2 linked regions of the Struthio camelus genome follow. The protein of the gene in region 2 interacts with the protein of the main gene of each other region in a biochemical or structural test. Links are inferred from orthologs where the notes say so. Each region holds a gene or a part of one and is shown on either strand. Other genes may lie near its edges.

Region 1 (11,707 bases), on a different chromosome or scaffold from region 2:
TTCTATTCCTCAACACATGCAGGCATATCAGAGTGACCAAGATGACTTTTCCTGTAATAGGCACCAAGGTGAAAACGTGGATATAGCTGAAGTACGGCCCTCTTGCTTGCACACAGGTCTCCTTGCATAGTTCCGCATTTCACACGCAAATATCCTGATGCCCACCATCCCCTGAACATGCTGCAGCAAAATTAATTTTCCTATCGAAACTTATTCATGCTTTTTATTTTTGAGGCAAAAGCTTGGATGAACAGGCAAAGGTTTCGTGACACTGATGTCAATAAGCTGGGGATCACTTAAATTTCATAAAATGCTTTATTTGTACATGTAAATATAGGCATAGTACAGCTCAACACATCATCTGCTAGAGCCTTCCTGGCCATTCTACTTTTTACAGTTTAACAAGGCCTTGCTGTCTGTTTCATATATCTCTCAACATCATTTCTAAAAAGTCTCCCTTACAAAGTCCTGTGGCTTTTGCAGAGGAAGCACAGGGATTTTTTTTTGTATCAAGGATCCAGAGCAGAAAGCATAATTTAAGTTTCAGATTGCCAAATGCATACATTACCATCATTCTTATCCTGCTAGAGGAGCTGAACATTTACAGAGTTCTTGGAGCCACACACAGGCAATTTGCATATTCCCCGAGAAGCAAACGGTAGGCAAGTTCAGCAAGTATCAGTAACAGAGACTTGGGCTTCAGAGCTCTGCAAAGGGCCAGCTAAAGGTGTAAGCTCTGCAAGCTTGCATTCAATTATTAATATACATGCATCAGCAAGCATACAGCCGTGGCTGAATGTATATTTAGGGCAGTGAAACGGTTAAAGTAATCCATAAAATTTTGTAGGGTAAAAGAGAAGAATGCATTTCTATCGATGTAAATTGCTTACAGGTCCTCCAGGCAAAGCACAGAGATACGTTACTGCCATCTGCTCCAGCGCTCTGAAACAACCCCACATCTGCAGAGGCACATGGGCATCTTCCTAACAGCCACGCATAACTGCCAGCATCTCCACTTCCTATCTCCAAAATGCCTGTCACATACCTTGCTAGATACAAGGCAAGACTGGCAAAGCTGTAAGCTCTCTAACCACTTGTAATCATCCCAACCTAAACCTGGACCTTTTCTCACCAGTCTGGAGGCATCACAAATCCAAAGCTGGCACCAACCCGGAAACAGCAACTTCACTAATGATGTTACTCAGTACCTTTTCTGTCACTCCTCACCTTTACAGTTTGTGATGTTCTCTTATCTTTGAGTATAGTCAGTAGTTGATGCGACTATTCTTTGTCCCCTTCAGGGCAAAATCCTTCAACTTAGTTTAAGCAGCCCTAATTGACTCAATAAGTTAAGCTGTCAGGCTGTATAATGGAAAAGAAAACGCTGGGAAAAGAAAGAGGAAAATTCATATCAGGGAGAAGTAGTAAATATCTAAAATACATAAGTTCTACATACCTGCAGCTATTACTGCAGTTTATCATGCTCTTACTTTGCATCTCGCAAGCAATTCTCACTCATGTTCTTAAAGGTAGGATACATCCAAAACAGCAAGACCACCATACTCACATTTAAATGTTGAATTTCCGTTAAACGGAAATCAATATAAGTTGTTATTTATAAAAATAAGAAATTATAGAAAGAAGTGTTAAGTATAAATTTAAATTTCCCCCTTGATTCCAATAAATGAGTTGGCTTTCGGAAACAAACTGCTTTTAAAAAACCAGCTGCAAAACCGCAAGAGATTACACTGTAGTATACAGTATACTGATCATGATGGTTAATAATTCAAAGACATTTAAAAGCATTATGCATTATAATACATGGAAGGGACATGAGAAAATAAATCTAACAATTTTAATTTACCTACAAAAATACAGTTAATAGATGATTTTAAACAAACAATATTTCATTTTAACTCTTGTCTCTTACCCTCAACACGTTTTTTGCAAGTACCTCAACTTTTTAGATTTTGAATCAAATTAGCAAGAACAGTATCATCTGGCCAGAAGCATTATCAGTCATACAATTTTTGTAATGTTTGATTTCCCCCGTATTTGTAGTAACAGCAAGTTCCAGCGATGCCATAAAACTAAGGTAGCATAAACTTATTTTTCCAGGAGAAAAGAGATTAAAAGATACAAAGCAAAACACAAAATAAGACGACAAAGGAAGACAATAAGAAGAATCACTCTTCTTGTTCAGATGATGACAGCTTCCCTAGGCCAGAGAAGGCTCACATGCTCTTCAAGAGAGAACGTCTTCTGTAATTGTACGGAATGCATCACACGTGCAGTATCAGTAAAAGTTTTCAATGAAGTACAAATATATAGAATTATATTTTAGATGAGCATTCTTATGATATTCAAAAGGAAGCAGTCTGATCTGCACTCTAAAAATAGGAAATGTTTCAACTAGACGCGGCAAACATTGTGAAAACTGGAAGTTGTGTAAATGTATTACTTTATTAAACTCTCCTGTGCTCAAAGCCCAAGGTAAGTATGACAGTTTAAAAATCTGTTTGGGACTTGTCTACAAGGTAACTAAGATTTTTTATTATTACTATTTTCCAGCTAAACAATTTACATCAAAACCAATATGCCCAAGAAATTAACCTCAAAAAAAAAAACCTAAAACTGTAACCCATTGTACAATCATGTTGTATACTGAAGGACAAAGGTGTCACCAAAGTTCTCTTCTTTTATAATGACTGATAAAGTAATTGTTATATGTTCCCATATGTAAATTTTGACAGCCTTGTACATTCTAATTCTAATCCTTCCAGAGCTTTCTTTACTTGTTTTACCAGAGTTTTCTTCACACCAATGAAGCCATACTTTCAGCAATATAATTTGTTTTCTAATGTGTCTATTCTAACAAGTCTCAGACACATCGCTATAATTTACTTTCTAGCCTCACCCATCTTGGAAGATGAGCAGTGCTCATTTTGGTGTATACAATTTACATAGTAGCAAAGCAATTGTTCATTTTCTCACAGTTCTCCCACATAATAAAATATACTGACACATTTGCAATAGTTAAGGAAACAGTACTGAGCACAAATATGTTTAATTTAATGAAAGCACGATGTCCATTTTTTATGCATGGTATAATCTAATTTAAATTAGAAGCCAACCTTTTAAGGAGACCAGTTTACTCTGGACTCTTCTGGAAGACAAAGGACTATTTTCAAGTGCCAAACAAAACAAATTCCATGAGTTACTCATACTAACAATCAACAGATAGCCAAACTAGTGTGGCAGTTAAGATTTACAACTAAGAAGAAATCCTATTAATTTGCAGAATGCATGGCCTTAGCCATAAGCATACCACTTACAAGGCAATAACTCCCAGTATTAAGAAGAGCAATATACTGGTAAATAGGATGCAGTCTGCATTTTTCTAAGTTGTTTGCTATTTTGCGTTAAGGATAAATTGAGCCATACTGGATACTACAACTTTAGCATTATAGCATAGCGAAGATTACAATAAACATATTTACATGAAACTCAGCAAACTGGCAAGTGCAGTACAATAACTTGTATACTACACAAAGACTGGAATTAAGAAACTACAGTTTATATACTCCAAACGACCTAACGGACTTGTGGTTTTTTTTAATTGTTGCTATTATTTTCACTATTTTTTTTAGTTAATATGACACAAGAGGTTAATGGGTGGTCCAAAAGGCCTATTTGATACTTATCTAGAAAAAGCTTTCCCTACTCAAAACATAGTTACATGAACTGGGATCTTCATCTACTTATGAAATTTAAATAAGGACTACTCTTCCAAAACTGCAGGAGCAACAATTTCAGTAACACCGTGTTATTGAACACTATGGAATCCATTGGAAGCCAAATATCCAATGGACTTTAAAGGAAGTGACTTTTTATTTTCTTTGTATACACACACAGATACTCTTAATTCCATCAATTGTTTCAGTCATTAAACTGATCCTGAAGTGTCAGTGATCATCTACCTCTGGAAATACTTGTAGTACTTTGCAGGGAAAAAATATCACCATCTGTGATTTGAAACTCAAACTTCATTTCTCTCCTGGCTTAGAAGATGGTCCAACAGCTCATATGCTGTGATAACTGTATGGCTCTTTGCTATGCACAATAGTTATTGCTGGAAGCTTCTAACTTGAAGAAGAACCCTTAGAACCAGTTTTCATATCCTTGCTGACAGGATGTCAGCCCAGGCTACATTACAGACATGGAAGCAATTACAATGGAGAAAACCTTACACCCCACTAAACACTGTCCTCCGCATAACTTCTTAACATAGCAGTATTTGTGCCGTGCAGCTAGCAGCATCCCTCGGCACTTCCCTTGTTTATTAGGCCTTCAAGACGCAGCTTAAGCTCACCCGAACTCAAAAGATGCCGTGTATAAGCAGCAACCCTCAACGATTCCTGCTTTAAATTTTCAATGGCGATTTTTCGGTCGAATCAGAGAGAAACCTTGTCCACACCATCCAACACGACCCGGCCGCTGAACGTTTGCAGCGGCTTTAGCAGCAGCAGGAGAGAAGCAACAATAGAGCTCTTGCGACCACAGCGTGTCTGCGGGCCCGAAAGCGCCCACTCAAGACGCCGGGATCCCTGCGGCGGCCGCGGGCTGCCCTCCCTCTCCCCACCTCGGCGCTTTCGTTAACGCTGCGGCCGCCAGGCAGACGTCAAGCCGCGGTCAGGCCTCCCGCCCGGGCCCGCGGCGAGCACGTACCAGCTCCACTTCGCAAGACAGGCGCTGGACCCGGCTCCTCGCCGAGCCCTAGGCAGAGCAGCCGGGGAGCGGCAGACGCCCCCGCCAGGCCACGGCGCCGGCACAGGGCCCGGCCGGGAACACCGGCTAAGACGCGCCAGGGAGAGGGGACGGAGCCCCGGCCCGGCCCCTCCCCCCGTGCGCGGTCGTTAACTGCCGCTGGCGCCAGCCAGGGCTCTTCCCCGCTCTGCGCTTCGCGAGGTGCGCGCGCCAACGCGAGGCTCTCCTTCCCCCACCTTAATTTTATTGAGCACCCCGCTGCTCTCCAGCGTCTGCACCAGCAGGTCCCGCAGCTCTGTGTCCTCCTCCGCCGCTGCGGCCGCCATCTTGTTTCTCCCTGACAACCGCCCAAACTGCGCTAGCGGTAGGACGAGCCCGGCAGATTCGCCTCCGCGGCCGAGGGAGGCACTAACCCAGCAGCGGACCCGAGGAAACGGGGCGCAGCCGGCCGGTGGCCGTCCTCAGTAGCGGCCCGAAAGGGGACACAACGAGGCCGCGACCACCCAACACCCCCTCCCCCCCCCCAAACCGCGGCGCCTGGAAAGTGTAGCGGCGAATCAGCAGCGCGACTGCCGGCGCCGCGATTGGCGGGCGGGAGGTTTAAAGCGGGTGATGGGCGCTAACGGCCGAGCTACGCCTTTGTTCGTCTTCAACGTCACCGCGGCGGCAGAGCTGGTGGCCGCGCTACTTGCTGGGTCCCTGTAACCATTCCCTGGGCCCCTTTCCAGCTTGGTGCTTTCCCCTGGCCGGGCAGACCTTGGCAGCGTGCGCGGGACTCGCGCCGGGCCGCGCTCGCGCCCAACGGCCGCGCGGGCTGTAACGGCCGCGGGGAGGGGGTGTGGGGAAGCGAGGTCACCTAGGGCCGGTCTTCTCTCGCACTCGGCTCTTTCCAGCGCCGAAAGAAAGGGGTTGGGGGACGACGACGAAGAACCTGAAACCGCTTTAAGGAGCGAAGAACCCCTCTCCTGCCCCTTCTCAGGTGTTTCAGCAGAGAGGAAAACGCTGTTCCCGTCCTCTGGGAGGGGTGGGGGAAGGAGCAATTTTCTCTGGGCTGAGAGAGATCTCGGAAAGTAGACGTATCCCCTCCATTCAGCACAAGCAAAGCAGAGACCGAAAAGTATTTAAAATATGTCAACAGTGTTTATTTTATAACCTCTATGTTATGTTAAAAGCGCCAGGCAGCGTCTTAGGAACAAGAGGCTCCAACGCTATCATTTCTTAAAAATGATACAACGCTTTCTAGGATGCAGTGCTTAATTTGCAGCACTGTACGTTGCCCCCGGGAAAATCTTTTGCTTTTTTTTTTTTTCATACTGAACCTTATCTTCTGAACTTTCTACGATTTTTCTTGAAGAGCATTCAATTATATAGCGAGAAAATTCGTAATTCATGAATATTGTGGCGTCTCCTTCCCTGGAGATATTCAAAACGCACCTGGACGCGATCCTGTGCAACGTGCTCTAGAGGACCCTGCTTGAGCAGGGGGGGGTTGGACTAGATGATCTCCAGAGGTCCCTTCCAACCTTGGCCATTCTGTGGTTCTGCAATATTCAAAGCATGCAAGCGTTCCTCGTAGAGGAATATAGTAAGGGTATTGTTGGCGGTTGATGCTACTTTCAAAAGCATGCAGTAGGTGGCACTAATTCATCGGTGAGGTCTTAAATATGAGTCAAGCCTGGTAAGTCAGGTGTCACTGGTACTGTCCCGTTTTTATTACATCCTCTAGAGGCATGCTGGATGTTTGAGCCCATTTCTGTTGCTGCACAAAGAATATAGCATTACATTTTAAAATTCCCAATCTTGGAAACATTGGCAACCTTTCACTCTCTTTGTATGGTTTGAGAAATATCTAACTCACCAGTAAGAATATATCATTATTGATTTAGGAGTCAAAATAGACTATAAACTTCAATGTTAAGCTTGAAACAAGATGGTAAATAACTAGGTTTCAGTTTTCGTGATCAAGTTCAATTAAAACAAGGCTTATAGGTTAAAAGTTAAACTGTTATTTCCAATAATCATATAAGCCCTATAATGTTACTATGATCAAAAGAGCCACGCTGTCTCAGGGTATAAGGCTTTACTCGTATGTCTGCCAAAAGACATGATGACGGTGGTTTTGGTTCACCGAAACTTGACGCCTAGCTTGATAGAGGGAATATTAAGCAATTGAAGGGATCGGCACTACAATTAAGTGTCTAAGCTGGTAAATGAGTTTTAGGCTAGGGAGGGGAAGGGAAGAATAGGGATTGGAAAATAACCAGCAAAATAAGGGTGATGTTCTTCTACCAGCCATAAAAGCTTTGAAATGGACCAGCTTATAAAAGCACCTCTATAGGAGTAGATTGGGGTCCTGTTGTAGTAATCACAAATGGTCTATTTTTGTCAGTGATCCAGAGGGAATGTATTCTGTGCCGGTTCTACAGTTGATAGACACTACTTTCCCTTCCAAGCTGACAGGCACAGCAGGGACTGGGCCCAAAGGTCTGTTAATTTACTTGCATGCCTCCAGCAGTTTTGGAAAGTTGTTACTAGAACCCCACAGAGATTATTCTCCCTCCCACACTACTGTGTCATGGTTTCACTCCAAACCCTACCGCTCTGCAGCTTGTGTGAGCGACAGTCCGGGTCTAAATGATTATGAGGATAACGGTTTAAAGGTATATGAAACTGTGAATAGTAGGGAAGGACAGGAACCAATAGGAAAGTGTATAACTACATTGTAACTATGTTGTTGGTATCAAAATTAGCAAAATACTTACTTGGCTGGATAACATGGTTAGCAATCCTAACCATGTTAGCAATGCTAACCATGTATACACAGCTATGCATCTATATGCACTGGGGATTTCTGTGGGGTAAAATGAAATTAAACATATACTCTCATCAACTTAAAGAACAATGTACTCCTAATCTTTTAAAACTCTAAAGCTTTGAACTACAGCTACTTTGATGACAAGCCAGCTTTTTAGCTATATGTTTATCTGATAGTATTTATTCGTTTTATCAACTGTGGTTTAGATCAGGCACAAAAGGAATGTTTTCTCAATTTGTTCTTCAGCAACAAATACTGTCTCCAATGTTTCTTTACTGACCCCTTTTTTCTGATACAAGCATTTGGGCTTTCTCCATATCGCACATCAATCTGCTTCCCCACACGTCTCACTGCTTGGCCTTTATTTCTGATATCTAGCTAGCAAAATCACTCTGCTGTACCTTAACCGAATCCACTCTCATGTTACCACAGCGAGGGTGGTATGAGTGGGGACTCCTTTGGTACCACCATGCTTCTGGAGATGGGGCCACAACAGCACCTGTTTCAGTTCCAGCAAGTCAAAAGTAAAACCTGATGCTCTGGAGGGCTATCTTCCCTGCCAGGTAGGAATGGATGTGTGAGGGTAGTGTTTCGTATCACATCTCCAACACTCCCCAATTTCTTCAGACTCAGTCACTCAGACCATCCACTGCCTTTTCCTCCACCACTGATTTGGCAATTTCTTGATGAAAATTCTTCCCCTTCCCTGCCCTCAAACTCACAGGGGAAAGCTGAAGAGCAGGGAAGAAGGCTTGCTTACAGTCCCCGACTTTCCCTTCCTTTTTTCCTTTTAAAAACACTTTTTAATAAATCAAATATTTTTTCCTAGGTTTTACCTTCCTTTTTTCTTCTTCAGCCTTTTCTCTTCAGTGGAAATGGAGACATTTCTTTCCCTGTCTCCTCCTATTCTGTTTGCCCCAATGATTCTTCCTCTTCTGATTTCCCTCATGTGCTCTCAGGTTTTCTTGTTTCCTCTTAAACTCTAATTGTCTCCTCCTCTTTGCCTTAGAACCAAAACTGACTGTCTTTCCTATCTCAAAAAGATGCGTTCATACCTTCAACTGCTACCTTATCCCCTTTTTCCCTTCATTCTTTAGTTCACTGAGCATACCATTTACAACTGTTCTCTGGATTTCCAGCTCCAATTTTATCCAGAATCCTCTTTACAGATTTGTATACTTTCCTCTTAGAAACACACACTGGGACTTATAATAATTTAATGACATGTATTTAAAGGCAGGGTCATAAATTATAAGATTAAATAAAGGTTTACAACATTCTTCTAATACTCATTAAATAGTTTTTGTGAGATGTGAGGAACATACATAAAACGGCAGCATTTATGGTGTAAATGTTATTGGAAATCACTTGTGATACCATCACATATAGATACTGCATGCCCAACAAATGTCATGGAACTAAAGTACTTGTATTGCCCCAATATATTATATGTAAAGAGAAAATGTGTGTTTCACAGGTATAATTGCTCATTGGTGTTTTCCATAAAGGGCTTGTCCCAGTAACTCGTATAGCAAAATAAAGGAAGACATATTATTATCACACAGATGCAGAAATAAAGAGCTATTTTCCAATTAAATGCAATTATACGATTTATTTAGTAATGAACATTGCTAGATAGTATGTCAAAAAATGGAGGTTTATAGGCAAATCACTGTTAGTGATTACTATTGATAGTGATTAATAGTGATTACTATTCTAGATTATCAATTTCAAAAACAATACTTTAAATTTAGACTTTTATATTTTATGGCAAATTATTTCCACAAATATACCTTGTCCCAAATTACAAGAAACTGTTTGTTTAAGCTGGCAAACCGTAGTGTGGAATCTGGCTTCAGGTCTATGCTGTGTACTATACGTTTGTCAGATATAAATCTTTCTCTCCAAGTAAATGTTTCAGAAAACACCAGCTTTCAGAATATGAATATGACATAGGTATTGACATTATGTTTGACTGTCCTTACAAAATCCACTTGACAAAATATTTGATAGGGATTGCAAAGCAAAAAGACAGATTCAGTAGACTTAGAAGATGATTCATCAGCGAAAAGAATTGTGGTTTGTAAAATTCATTGCAATAACACTGGCTTCCTGCTCTCCAGTGTATCTAGACTATTTCAAATCCAATCTCCATATACCCCTTTTGAGCACTGCCAAATACCAGAAAATTATTTAGCTAAATATTCATCACCTAGAGGGCAGCGAAGCATGCTAATAGTCCAATTTCCTACCCAGCCGACAATGAACAGTCTCAAACTGCCTCGTGTCCCATTCTAAAGAAAACGTTATCATTTAAAATATATCTAATTCCCAAGTCTACCTTTACTGACATCATCTAACTGCATCACAAGAGACAGACCAACATTATTTTTATTGTTTCTGCAGAACTGTAAATGTGAAGAACATTCTACCAGAGTAAGAAGAAGATGTATTTTTCATGGGAAAACCAATATAGCTTTGCAAAGATGCTATAAAATTGACACTGCATCATTCAAAAAAAAATGCAATGGCAGCGTTGCTACAAGCTCTTTACACAATATAAATCCAATCCAGGCCTTCAAAAAACATGCATTGACCAATTCTATTGACTGAAAGTTAGGACACAGTAATATATGTACATCCTAGAATCTGATCAGAGTTTTGCAGATGATTGTCATTAACACACAAAAACTGAATAAAATCTAGCTAGATTTGTGAGTTCTATTTGTGCAATGGGAATAATCAAAACAAAAATCATTGTGTTAGGGGAACAAAATAAGAAAGATTCTGGACTCTTAAATCCTAATCTAAATGTACACTGCTGGTTTCTAGAAAAACAGAGTTTTAAAATCTCAGATTGAAGTGCTTGATAATAAAATCCTTAAAGAAATTGAACCATGCCAACTTCATTTTTGTTTTATTTTCTTCAGGCAACACATTTCAGCAGATAAACAGAGTTTTAAAATCTCAGATACAGTTACGTTTGTTCAGAAATTTTTGAGGAAAATGATATTTTCAGGAAAAATGGAAATGAAACTTTTCCACTGTTTTGGCATTCTCTCCCTCAATTTTCCACCAAATATAATCATGTCATCATGAGTGTTAATAAACAGTGAACAGGAGAGAAAAGTCAATACAGACATAACAGACCATGCTATTTACAATGAGAAATTACCCAAATGAGGTCAGTTATTTTTCATTACAATGATTCTCAAATTTTGGAGTCCAACTTGTTCTTAGGAATATTATATAGAGTACTAAAAATGCAGTTTAAATCAGTTGGTGATTAAGGCTCTAGTTCAGGAGAGCACTTCGCTACTTCTTAATTTTATCCCAATTCAGAAGAGCAGTTGAAGATATTCTAAGCTTGTTAGTGTGTGCTTGTGTCCTAGGATTAGTGCGTATAACTGTGGAGCAAGGGCCCCATAGTGTGGGATACAAATATTTGTCAGATACTGAGCTGGAAATTGGACTGCCAGTCTATTAATCGGGTGAGCAGTTAAGGTAGATCTTATATCACAGTGAGGATATAGACTTTAGGAACAGTCAAAAGTCCCAATAGCTTTCATAGCTTCTATGTAAATATTTATGATTATCATTCAGTCTACTTAATTTCTTACTTGTGCTGTAAATTCTTTCTGCCTTAATGATAATGAATAGTCTCTTATGAAGTCGGTGGGGGCTACCAGTGGCATACAGTACTGCTCACACAGACTAAAGCCCCCAAATTTCTCTCTTACTACATTCAAGTGTCAGAACCTAGTAGAAATATTACATTTCAGGCAGCAGGTATGAAATGAAGTCTTGGCACCAGTTCATAAACCTGGATATTTCTACATGCTTGTTAACATTCCATGATGTTCTCAGATGTATTGAGATAGCCTTTCTGAGTAATTGCCAACTATTGATGAAAGATGGACAATTTTTATCTCGTAAATGATTATTTGAGAAAACTGTCTGATGTTTTTTTGTCTTTTAAACAGGTTGCCACAACAGTTGTTCACATTACTGAGTAATAGTCGTCTTATGTCTTAACACAAAAAAGGCCGAAAACAGTAAAAGTATAACTTGTCTTTCCTCCTCATTATAGTTGTCAGCATTTGGATCTGATATAATGTTTGATTT
Region 2 (9,401 bases):
CGGCCGGGGGGCTCCAGCGAGTCAAGGGGGAGGGCACTGATTTTTCCCATGGGGAAAAGTCTTTTTGCATGAGGAAGAGTCATGAGCTGCATCCCTGGCCCGCGGTCTGGGTGCCGGCGGGGTGACGGGTCCCGTCCTGCTGCTCGGCTCCCCCAAGTCACAAACCCGCACCCCACAGAAACGGTTTCTCAACAGCTCCGCTGCGGAGCCAAGAAAGATGCTACAAATCCAGACAGGTCTGCGTGCCGGGAATCGGCCGGGCGCGCTTCAGAGCGTCGTTTCCCAGCATCGGCTGCTGCTATCTGCTGAAAACCGAGGGCACGGGCAGCTGCTTCCAGCTCCCGCCACGTTCCCCGGCGCCGGGGCCGGCACGGCTCGCCCGAGGCGCCGCGGGGCTCCCGGCCTCCGGCTCCCGCCACCCCAACAGGATCGCGGGTGCTGAATTTGGGAAGGGGGGGGGGCTCATGCCAAGGCTGTGCCGCCCGCATGCTCGAGCCCTGCAAGCCCCTCGGAGGCAAGCGCTCCATCCCTGGCGGTACTGTGTGCATTTTGCTGTGACGTTGCAGGCTCTGTCACCTCCGCCGTGGCGCCTGCCCCGTCCTCAGCGGGACGCCGGGAAGCCTCGTCCTGGAAGGGGTGGGAAGGAGCCGGGCGGTACATGCGGGACGTGCGTGTGCCAGCTTCGGAGGTGTGAAGGGACACGCGGGCGCCACCGGTCACCGTGCTGCCACCTGCCGTTGGACGCGCCGCGCACGCAACGCGCCTGGGCGCGCCGGGAGCTCCTGGCACAGGTCCTGCTCCCGGCCGCGGCAACCCCAGCTGCTGCTCTGGCCTCGGGGCACGAGCCGCCGCGGGGTGCTGGCATTTGCATGGGGCGTTGGTGTTTGCACAGGGCGCTGGCGTTTCCATGGGGCGCTGGCATTTACACGGGGTGCTGGCGTTTGCACGAGGTGCTGGTGTTTGCACGGGGCACTGGCATTTTCATGGGGCGCTGCCATTTGCACGGGGCACTGGCGTTTGCACGGGGCGCTGGCATTTGCACGGGGTGCTGGTGTTTGCACGGGGTGCTGGCATTTTCATGCAGTGCTGGAGTTTGCACGGGGTGCTGGTGTTTGCACCGGCGCAGCCCCGAGGACAAGGCAGGGGGCAGATCCGTACAGGCAGGCTGGGATACCCATGGAAGAGGCACTATCGCCCTGCAGTCATGCCAGCCTCTGGTGTGCCAAAATCCCAGATCAGGCACAAAAAGAGCCAGGATGTAAAAGGCATCGGGGGGGGGGGGATCCCCCTCATGCAGGATGCAGGGGGGCTGCAGGGGGGTAGTCGGGGGGGCTCCCTGAGCCTGGGGGAGGCTGGAGAGGTTTTTGCTTCCTGATGCCAGTGGGGACGCTGGGGTGACCCCACGCGTTTCCGAAGCAGCCTCTGCACCCTGCGTTTGAGCAGAGAGGACACGCAAAGAGCTGTTTTCCCGGCTGGGAAAAATCCACATTATTCCCGATTTTCTAGCTGCAAATCCACCCCGAGCCCTCCACCAACCGCCCCGGCCCTCTGACACCCTGCGCTCATGCTCGGGACCTCTCTCCAGAGAGCGATGTCCTCCCCACCCCACCCAAATTGGGAACGGCATCCTGCCCCGGGGAACGGGCAGGGCACCGCCAGCCCGCGGACGGGTCCGGCCCTGCGGGACACGAGCCCCGGCTGCAGCTCTGCCCACCCCGTGCCCCCTCCCCCGAGCTGCCCCCTCCTCCCGGGCTCTCCGGCTGCCCTCGTCCCCCCGCCCAGGGCCTCCCTGCGGGCAACACCACCCAGAGGGGACGGGGAAAAAAAAAAAAAACTTAAAATCTCATGTTTTTTTTTTTTTTATTAAAGACTCCAAAACGACACCAAACTCATAGCAGAACTTTACAAAAAGGAATTTTATTGGGCGCCGGAGGCGGGGGGAGCCCCGGGGGGCCCGGCTCTACTGCTTGTACTGCAGCAGCGCCTCGTTGTAGATCATGGCCAGGGCTCCCAGGAAGGTGACGTACTCCTGGAAATTCACTTCCTGGTCCTTGTTGCGGTCCAGGTCCTCCATGAGCCCGGCGACCTCGGCCTCCTGCAGCTTCTGCGGCGCGGAGCAGAGCAGGGAGCCGTCAGCGGATGGGGAGGGGGCCGCCCCGAAGGCCGGCCGCCCCGGGGGCGCGGGCCGGGGGCTCGGGCATCGCTGCCAGGCGCCGGAGCCGGGGCCGCAGGCAGGCGGGCTGCGGGGCCGGGAGATGCCGCGGGACCCCTCGACGGGACCCCCGGCTCCTCGGCCGCCTCGCCAAGCGCCGGGTGCCCCAGGTGACGGGGCACCTCTTGGCACGGCCGTCCCCTGCCCACGCCGGTTTTGCCGCTCCGTCTCGGGGGGCCCCGTCGGGCAGGAGCCGGGGGGCCCCCGGCGGCGCCCCGCCACCACTCACCGGCCCGATGGTCAGCTCCTTCTGGATGAGCTCCTTGAGCTCGCCCTTGCTCAGCGTGGTCTTGTCGCCCTCCTTGCCCGAGTACTTGTGGAAAATGGCCACGAGGAGCCCGATGGCCTGGTCCAGGGGGGCGGCCATGGCTGGCGGCTGCGGGGGCCGGCCGGGCGCTCAGCGGGGGCGGCCCACGCGCGACCCACGCCGCGGCCTCCCACGCGCGGCGCCCCCCCTCCCCCGCGCGGCGGCAGGGGCAGGGGCAGGGGACACTCACCGACGGCGGCGGGACGGCAGGAAGAGCAGCGGCGGCGCCGCCTCCTCCCCGCTTTTATAGCCGGGCGCCGGCTCCTCCCAGGGCGGCGGGGGCCGGGGCAGCCCCTCCCCTGCGCACCGAGAGCCGGGGGGGGGGGGGGCACGTCGCGGCCCCCCCGCCCGCCCCCTCGGGCCCGGGCCAGCCGAGTCACCGGGGATGCGGGCCGGAAGAGCTGCTCCCCGTCCCCGTTATCCCCGTTCCCAGCCCGTCGGGAGGCATCCATCCCGGGGCAAAGTCCCCGCCGAGCCCTGCGCAGCCGCAGGGTGGGAAAGGGAGCGGATGCGGGCGATGCCCGAGGGCGGCCGGCGGGGTCTGCCGCTGACCCCCGCCGGCACGCGGGGCGAGCGGGGTGCCCACGCTCCGGCTCCGAAGCGGCGCCGTCCGGCACCACCTGCCTCCGCAAACTGCAGGTGGACAGGGCCTTGCCCGGCGCGGTGGGATCCCAGCCCACGTCCCCCCGGCAAAAAACCCGCTCGCAGAGGGCTTCGTTGAAAGCAGCCTTTATTTAAAGAATAGGAGGAATTCTTTAAATTCCTCCTACGGTGGTGCAGGGGTGACGGGGGCGACCGCGGCCCCGGCCCGCCGCCCGGCTCACTTCCTCCGCGGCATCTTGTCCGGGCAGCCCTGGAAGAAGTCGTTGCACATCATGGCCACGCAGGCCAGGAAGGTCGCGTACTCCTGGAAATCCACCTCGCTGTCCTTGTTGCTGTCCAGGTTGCTCATGAGCTTCTGGAAGCCGGCCTCATCCGTTTGTTTCTGCCGAGGGGAGAGATGGGGACAAGCGGGCGGTTTGCACGGCGGGCCGAACGCCCCGGCAGGGGGGAGCCCTGCATGGCGCCAGCCCCCCAGGCCACCACGGGCCACCGCGGGCCACCACGGGCCACCGCCCCACGCTTACGCTGATGAAGCTCGGCAGCTCCTTGGTGAGCAGCTCCTTGAGCTCTTGCTTGTTCAGCTTGTACTTGTCCCCTTCCTTCCCCGAGTACTTGTGGAAGGTGGAGACCATCACGGCCAGCGCCTGCTCCAGCGGCCACGCCATGGGGACACCGGCCAGTCTGCGGGCACAGAGAGCCGGAGCGGGTGAGCCGGAGCCGGGAAGCCCTGCAAACGGGGGCTGCGGTGTCCCGTCCCCCTCCCCGGGGGCTGCTCCAGGGCAGGCACCCACCACCCAGGCGTGCACGGGGATGCATCACCGTTTCCTCCCCAGATGCACCCGCCGGCCGCTCCGTTTGGGGCAGGACGCCGCCAAGAGAAGCCAGGCAGAGGGGGGAAGCAGCGGGGAGCCAGCTGCCCCCCCCGGGCCGCCGAGCCCCGAGCGCTGCCAGCCGCCGGCCCAGGCGCAGCAGCAGCAGCAGCAGCAGCAGCAGCAGCAGCGTCCAGAGGAACGGCGGGGAGGAGGACGCCAGGACGTCATAGGAAAAAACAACTCACCAACAGCTCAAACCGCAGGGTGGGAGCGGAGCCGGCACGATGCCGCAGCATTTATAGCCCCGCCGGGGACGCCCCCGCGCTATGGGGATGGAGAGGGACCAATGCTGCTCCAGCGTCCGTCCAGACATTGGCTGGCAGGAGAAGAGAGGAACCCCCGAGAGCAGCGGCGGCCGCCCCGGCGCAGCCCTCCCGGCTGGTCCTGCCCTCCCCAGCCGGCCTCGGGGCTGCTGTGGGTTGAAAAGAGCAAGATTTGGGGGCTGGGAGACCCCTGGCCAAGGAGGGACCCCGGGGCACGAGCGGCCTCTTGGCCAAAGCCGACCCCTCGGCGGCGGGTGGCGGACGAGCTTTTACCCCTCCTTGGGCTCAGCGAGCTTAACCACGGCAATCGCCGCCCGAGCGGAGGGGCTGAGCGGGCTGGCGGGAGCAGGCGCGCGGGCGGCCCCCGCTCCGGCCCCCGCCGGCCTTCGCTGGTGGCTTCGCTGCTGTTGGGGTTTGCTGCTTTTTTGTTTGTTTGTTTGCTTGTTGTTTTTTTGCTTCCCTCCCTCTGCTTGTAACGCAAGCCGCTCGCAGGCGAGCTGGGATTCCCGCGGCCGCCTTGCACGACGGAGCGCCGCTCGGGTGGCCTCGGCGCGTGCCAGGGAGCCGCGCGGGACGGCCCGCAGCCCTGGCCGCCTCCCCGCGAGGCCCCCCGCTCGGCAGAGGGGCGCCCGCCGCCGCGGGGACCCGGGCCAGAAAAACAAGGGGGAAAAAAAAGAAAAAAAAAAAACAGGAAAAAAAGAGAGGCGGGCGCAGGAGGGGTTTCCGCTGGGAAGGCAGCGGCGGGCCGGGTCCCCGGGGCCTCCCCTGCTCCCGGAGCAGCGCTGGGTGCTGCGGGCACCCCAGCTCCGCCGGGGGGTTCCCTGCCCTTCGCCGGGGAGCGCGGCCGGGGGCCAGGACCGGCACCACCAGGAGCATCCCCCAGGGAGGGGATGCTGGAAGGAGCCTTTTGGCCAAACGAACCCCCAAGCCTGGCCCTCATCTCCCCGTTAAGAAACGGGTGCAAGCCGGTGCAAATTCCTGGGGCGGGGGGAGAGGCTGCCTGGGGCCCGGCTGCCTTTAAGAAGAGCAGGACAGAGGAGGGAAGAGCTGGGAGCTGCTGGTGGGGCTGGGGAAGGAGCTGCTGGGGGTGTGGGGAGATGCTTTGCAGGGCGCTCGGCTTGGCCGTGCGTTGGAGCAGAAGCTTTGCAAGGGCGTTTCCAGCCCCAGGGCTGCTCCTCCGGGGTTTGGGGCTGCTGGGCACGGCTGGAGAGGAGGAGGAGGAGCAGCAGCAGCAGCGACGCTCCCTGCGAGCCAGCCTGGACCTGCAGGGAGCCGACGAGGCTGCGGCAGGGTGAGCCACATCCTGCCCAGCCGGTATCGCAGGGCGAGGTGCCCGGAAACTGCCGTCGCCCGCAGCCCGGCGGTGGCTGGGGGAGGCCGGGGCGAGCGCGGGTCTGGCTCCCGCGCGGCAGCACCCCGGCATGGGCTCATCCGCGTCCGGGGGGCTGCGGGGAAGGGTCTCCTCCAGCCGCAGCTTTTCCCTGCCGGGGGCCGGCTGCAGCCTTCAGGCCCCGCCTGGACCCTGCGTGTTGCTCCGCTCCCCGCGCTCGTGTTGGCCGCGCTAGCCTGCGAGCCGAGCCGGGCGCGGGGAAGCTCATGTGGTTCGAGTTAAACGTGAAGCGGCGCCCGCAGGGCTGGTGCTGGTGGGATGTTTAGCTGGGCTGCGTGCGTTGCCCAGAAACGGCTCCGAGCAGCTCTGCTCCAATTTTCCCAAAAGCGTGCGCCGGCTCCCGGGGCCGAGCTGCGCCATGGAAAATCCCAGGGAGGGACGAGCCGGCGGGAGGGAGCGGCGGGCGCCGCCTCCGCGCCAGCGACCCCGCGCTCGGCCCCCGCCGAGAAACCCCCTGCGGACGCGCGCGGAGGCTTTGCAAAGGCTTTTATTGAACGCACGGCGGCGGCGATGCCGTGCCGGGGGCCGCGGGGCGGTGGGCGCCGGGGCTCACTTCTGGCGGCGCTGCTTGGAAGGGCAATCCTTGAAGAACTCGTTGAAGCCCATGGCGATGCAGGCCATGAAGCAGGCGAACTCCTGGAAGTCCACCTCGCTGTCCTTGTTGTGGTCCAGGTCGTTCATGATCCTCCTGAACTCCCCTTCGTCCATCTGCCCCTGCGAGGGAGGAGAGGGGTCGGGGCGCGGGCCGGTTCGGGGCTCGGCCGGCTGCTCCCACGGGAGGGTGCAAACAGGGGCTCGAGCGCTGGGCTCCCCGCGCCGCCCCCGTCCCCCTTGGGAAGGCGGTGGCCACGCAGGCGGGGTGCGCTGGCTGCTCCTGGGCACGGCTCTATAGCACGTGTGGTTTTCGACCATGAAAAAAATCTGCCAGATTTCGGCTCCCTCCCGAATTAAACTGGAAACCAGAAGAGGAAATGCAAAAAGAAAAAAAAAAAAACGGGGGGGGGAGGGGAGATAAAAAGCAGAAATCAGCACGCAACTGTTTTGCCAATCAAAATATCTCTACGGCCGTTTGCGGGCCTGCGAGGAGCCTGCTCCAGCCCGGGTCCTCCCGGCGCCCGGCCGGTGCGTGGCCGGGCCGGGGGCTCAGGGCGCTGCGCGGGGGCCGTGCGCAGCCCCCCGGCCCGCTTCGCACCCCGCCAGGACGAGCCGGGGAGCGCCCTGCCCCGGGGCCACTTACGCTCCCGAAGACCGGCAGCTCCTTGTTCAGCAGCTCCTTGAGCTCGGCCTTGTTGAGCTTGTACTTGTCGCCTTCCCTGCCGGAGTACTTGTGGAAGGTGCAGACCAGGGCGGTCAGCGCCTGCTCCAGGGAACACGCCATGGCCAGCTCCTGCGGGCAGAGCCGGGCCGCCGCGCTCAGACCCCCCGAAAGGGGTCGGCGGTGCCGGAGAGGCGTTTCGGGGCCCGGCTGGGTGCAATCGCCGCAGGGGTGCAAACCGCGGCGGGGGGGGGGGGGGGGGTCGACGACTCACCGGGGTCAGTGCCGCTGGCGGGGGTCTGCAAGGAGCCGGGGTGTCGCTGCCGCCGTGCACCGACCTTTATACCCGGGCCGGGGCGGCGCTGCCCCGCGCAGCCCCCGGGCTTTCCCAGCGCCTCCGCGCCGGCGGTTTCGCCCACGCCTGGTTTTTGCCCATCGGGCCGTGTGATGCGGTTAGCGGGCGGCGGTGGCGTTTGGGTCAGCCCCCCACCGGCAGCTGCAGTCCCGCCGAGACGGGGCGCGCGGACCCCGCTGCAAGGGGGGCGGCGAGGCGAGCGCAGCGTTTTGCCGGGGGCTGCCGCGTGGCGTCCCCCGACCCCAGATGCGCCAGGCTGTGCGGGGACAGACCCTTCCTCCCAGTGCCAGGGGCCGGGAGGTCCTGGCGACGCCAGAGTCCTGGATCCGCCTGCACCCGCCCAGCCCTCGTTTCCCAAGGAGGGGGCGCGAGCCCCAAACGTTTGCCCTCGTCGCGGGGTAAAGCAGCCGGGTCCGGGGGTCCGGGCGCCCGCCACGGGGGTGACAGCACCAGGGAGCGTCGGGGGCCGCGTGGGGCCTCGCGGCTGCTGCAACGCCGCGGCGCGGTGAGCAGCTGGCGCCGGGCGCCCGGGGGCGGTGGTGCCGGGGACGGGATGGAGGGCTGGAGCTCCCGAAATTGGGAGCAGCTGCAGAGCCGGGCGGCCCCATCCGCACCCTGCGCCGTTCCTCTCCCGCCCGCCACGTGGCACCGTGCAAAGGGTCCCCCGCGCGCGGGCGTGCGCCCAGCGCCCGTTCGGGCACCCGGAGCGGGAAACGACGGGCCCGGCCTTGAGCGAAACGGGCGCGGGAAGCGGCCCCCAGCGCTGGCCCGGACGCCTGGGTCCGACGGGGGGAGCGTGCCGGGGACGGGACTTCTCTAGCGGGTCTGGGCCGGCGGGCCAGGCGCCCGGTCCCCAGCGCGGCGCATCCCCCCCTGCTCTCCCCTGCCGCCGCTGCGCCCCTGGGTGCCCGCGCCGGCGGCCGGGGCCGAGCGCGCTCCTGCTGCCGGACTCGCGTGGGACCCGCGCTCGCGCGTGGCGGCGGCTGCGGGGCCGCGGAGGAGCGGGAGGAGGAGGAGGAGGATGGGGCCGGCCCCGAGGCGCTGGCATCCCCCCCCCCCCCGCCTTCCACCGCCCCCACCCGGAGCCAAGTCTCCTCCCAGTGGAAAATCCCCGGGCGGCGCCGGGGCCGAGAGTCGGGCAACGAGCCAGCGCCGGGGGCGGGACGGGGCGGGACGGGGGAGATGGGACGGACGGGGCGGGACGGGACGGACAGGACGGGACAGGACGGAGGGGACAGACGGGACGGGACGGGACGGGACGGGACGGGACAGGACAGGGGGGACGGGATAGATGGGACAGGATAGACGGGACGGACGGGATGGGATGGGACAGGACGGAGGGGACAGACGGGACGGGACGGGACGCGCCGCCAGCCCGGCCCCCGCGGATGCGCCCCCGGGAAGCCCGAGCCCCGGGGGGGCCGGAGGGGGGTGAAGCAACCCCCCCCCCCGGGGCTGTGCTGCTGCCGAGCTGCTGCAGCGGCTCCTGCCGGCCCGCGGCGGCAGGTTTGGGGAGGAGCGGGCACGACCCCCCCGGACCCCCCCCAGACCCCACGCGAAGGCAGAGCCTCGGCCCGACCCGCTGCTCCTCCACACTTTATTGCTGCAATAAATAAGCAGGCAGGTCTCGCCCGCCGCCCCCAGGGCCAGGCGGCGCGGCGGGGCCAGAGCCTTCACCAGCTTGGGCCGGAGGGAAAGACACCGTTTTTCCAAGAAGTCCTGGCATGTGGGAGGGGGGAAGGAGACAAACCCCCCCCCAACCGAGGGGAGAGGGGGTCGCTGCAGCCGCGGGGTTTCTGCCAGCGGGGCCGTGCCCCAGAGCCAGGGCGGAGGTCTGAGAACGGACAGCACTCGTGTCCTCGATGAGGCAAGACTTCCCTTCCGCTTGGTGCCCCCGCGAGGTCGAGGCCGGCAAGGGCGGGGGGGCAAGAAGGGGGCTCCCGCCTGCTGGCTCCGCTCGCCCGGGGCACGGCCCGGGAGCGGGGAGCAACCGGCCCCTTCTTGCCCGCGCCCGGCGTCCCCCCGGGGGGCTGGCGGAGGAGGCGAGGAGCCGCGGGGGGCTGGCGGGGTGGGGGGCGGCCGGCTACTTGGTGTGCTTGACGCTCTGCTCCTGCTGGCGGATGATGTGGGCGATGGGGCTGGCG

The links.
Region 1: the proteins of protein S100-A6 (region 2) and CEP43 form a complex in vitro, tested with the Homo sapiens proteins (2 studies listed by BioGRID and IntAct, with this or other methods). The link is inferred for Struthio camelus from reciprocal best matches to the Homo sapiens genes S100A6 and CEP43.

What each region holds. Positions count from the first base shown.
Region 1 is NC_090944.1:88,808,998-88,820,704, reverse strand, and holds the start of CEP43 (centrosomal protein 43), read right to left. Parts: upstream 5,749-11,707; 5' UTR 5,094-5,748; coding exon 5,004-5,093; intron 1-5,003. UniProt on the Homo sapiens protein: Required for anchoring microtubules to the centrosomes. Required for ciliation.
Region 2 is NC_090971.1:4,725,189-4,734,589, reverse strand, and holds protein S100-A6, read right to left. Parts: upstream 2,841-9,401; 5' UTR 2,710-2,840; intron 2,589-2,709; 5' UTR 2,580-2,588; coding exon 2,442-2,579; intron 2,105-2,441; coding exon 1,961-2,104; 3' UTR 1,890-1,960; downstream 1-1,889. Other genes in the region: protein S100-A4-like, read right to left, coding at 3,340-3,504, 3,647-3,803, 3,942-4,162; protein S100-A4-like, read right to left, coding at 6,197-6,361, 6,885-7,025; S100A16 (protein S100-A16), read right to left, coding at 9,341-9,401. UniProt on the Homo sapiens protein: May function as calcium sensor and modulator, contributing to cellular calcium signaling.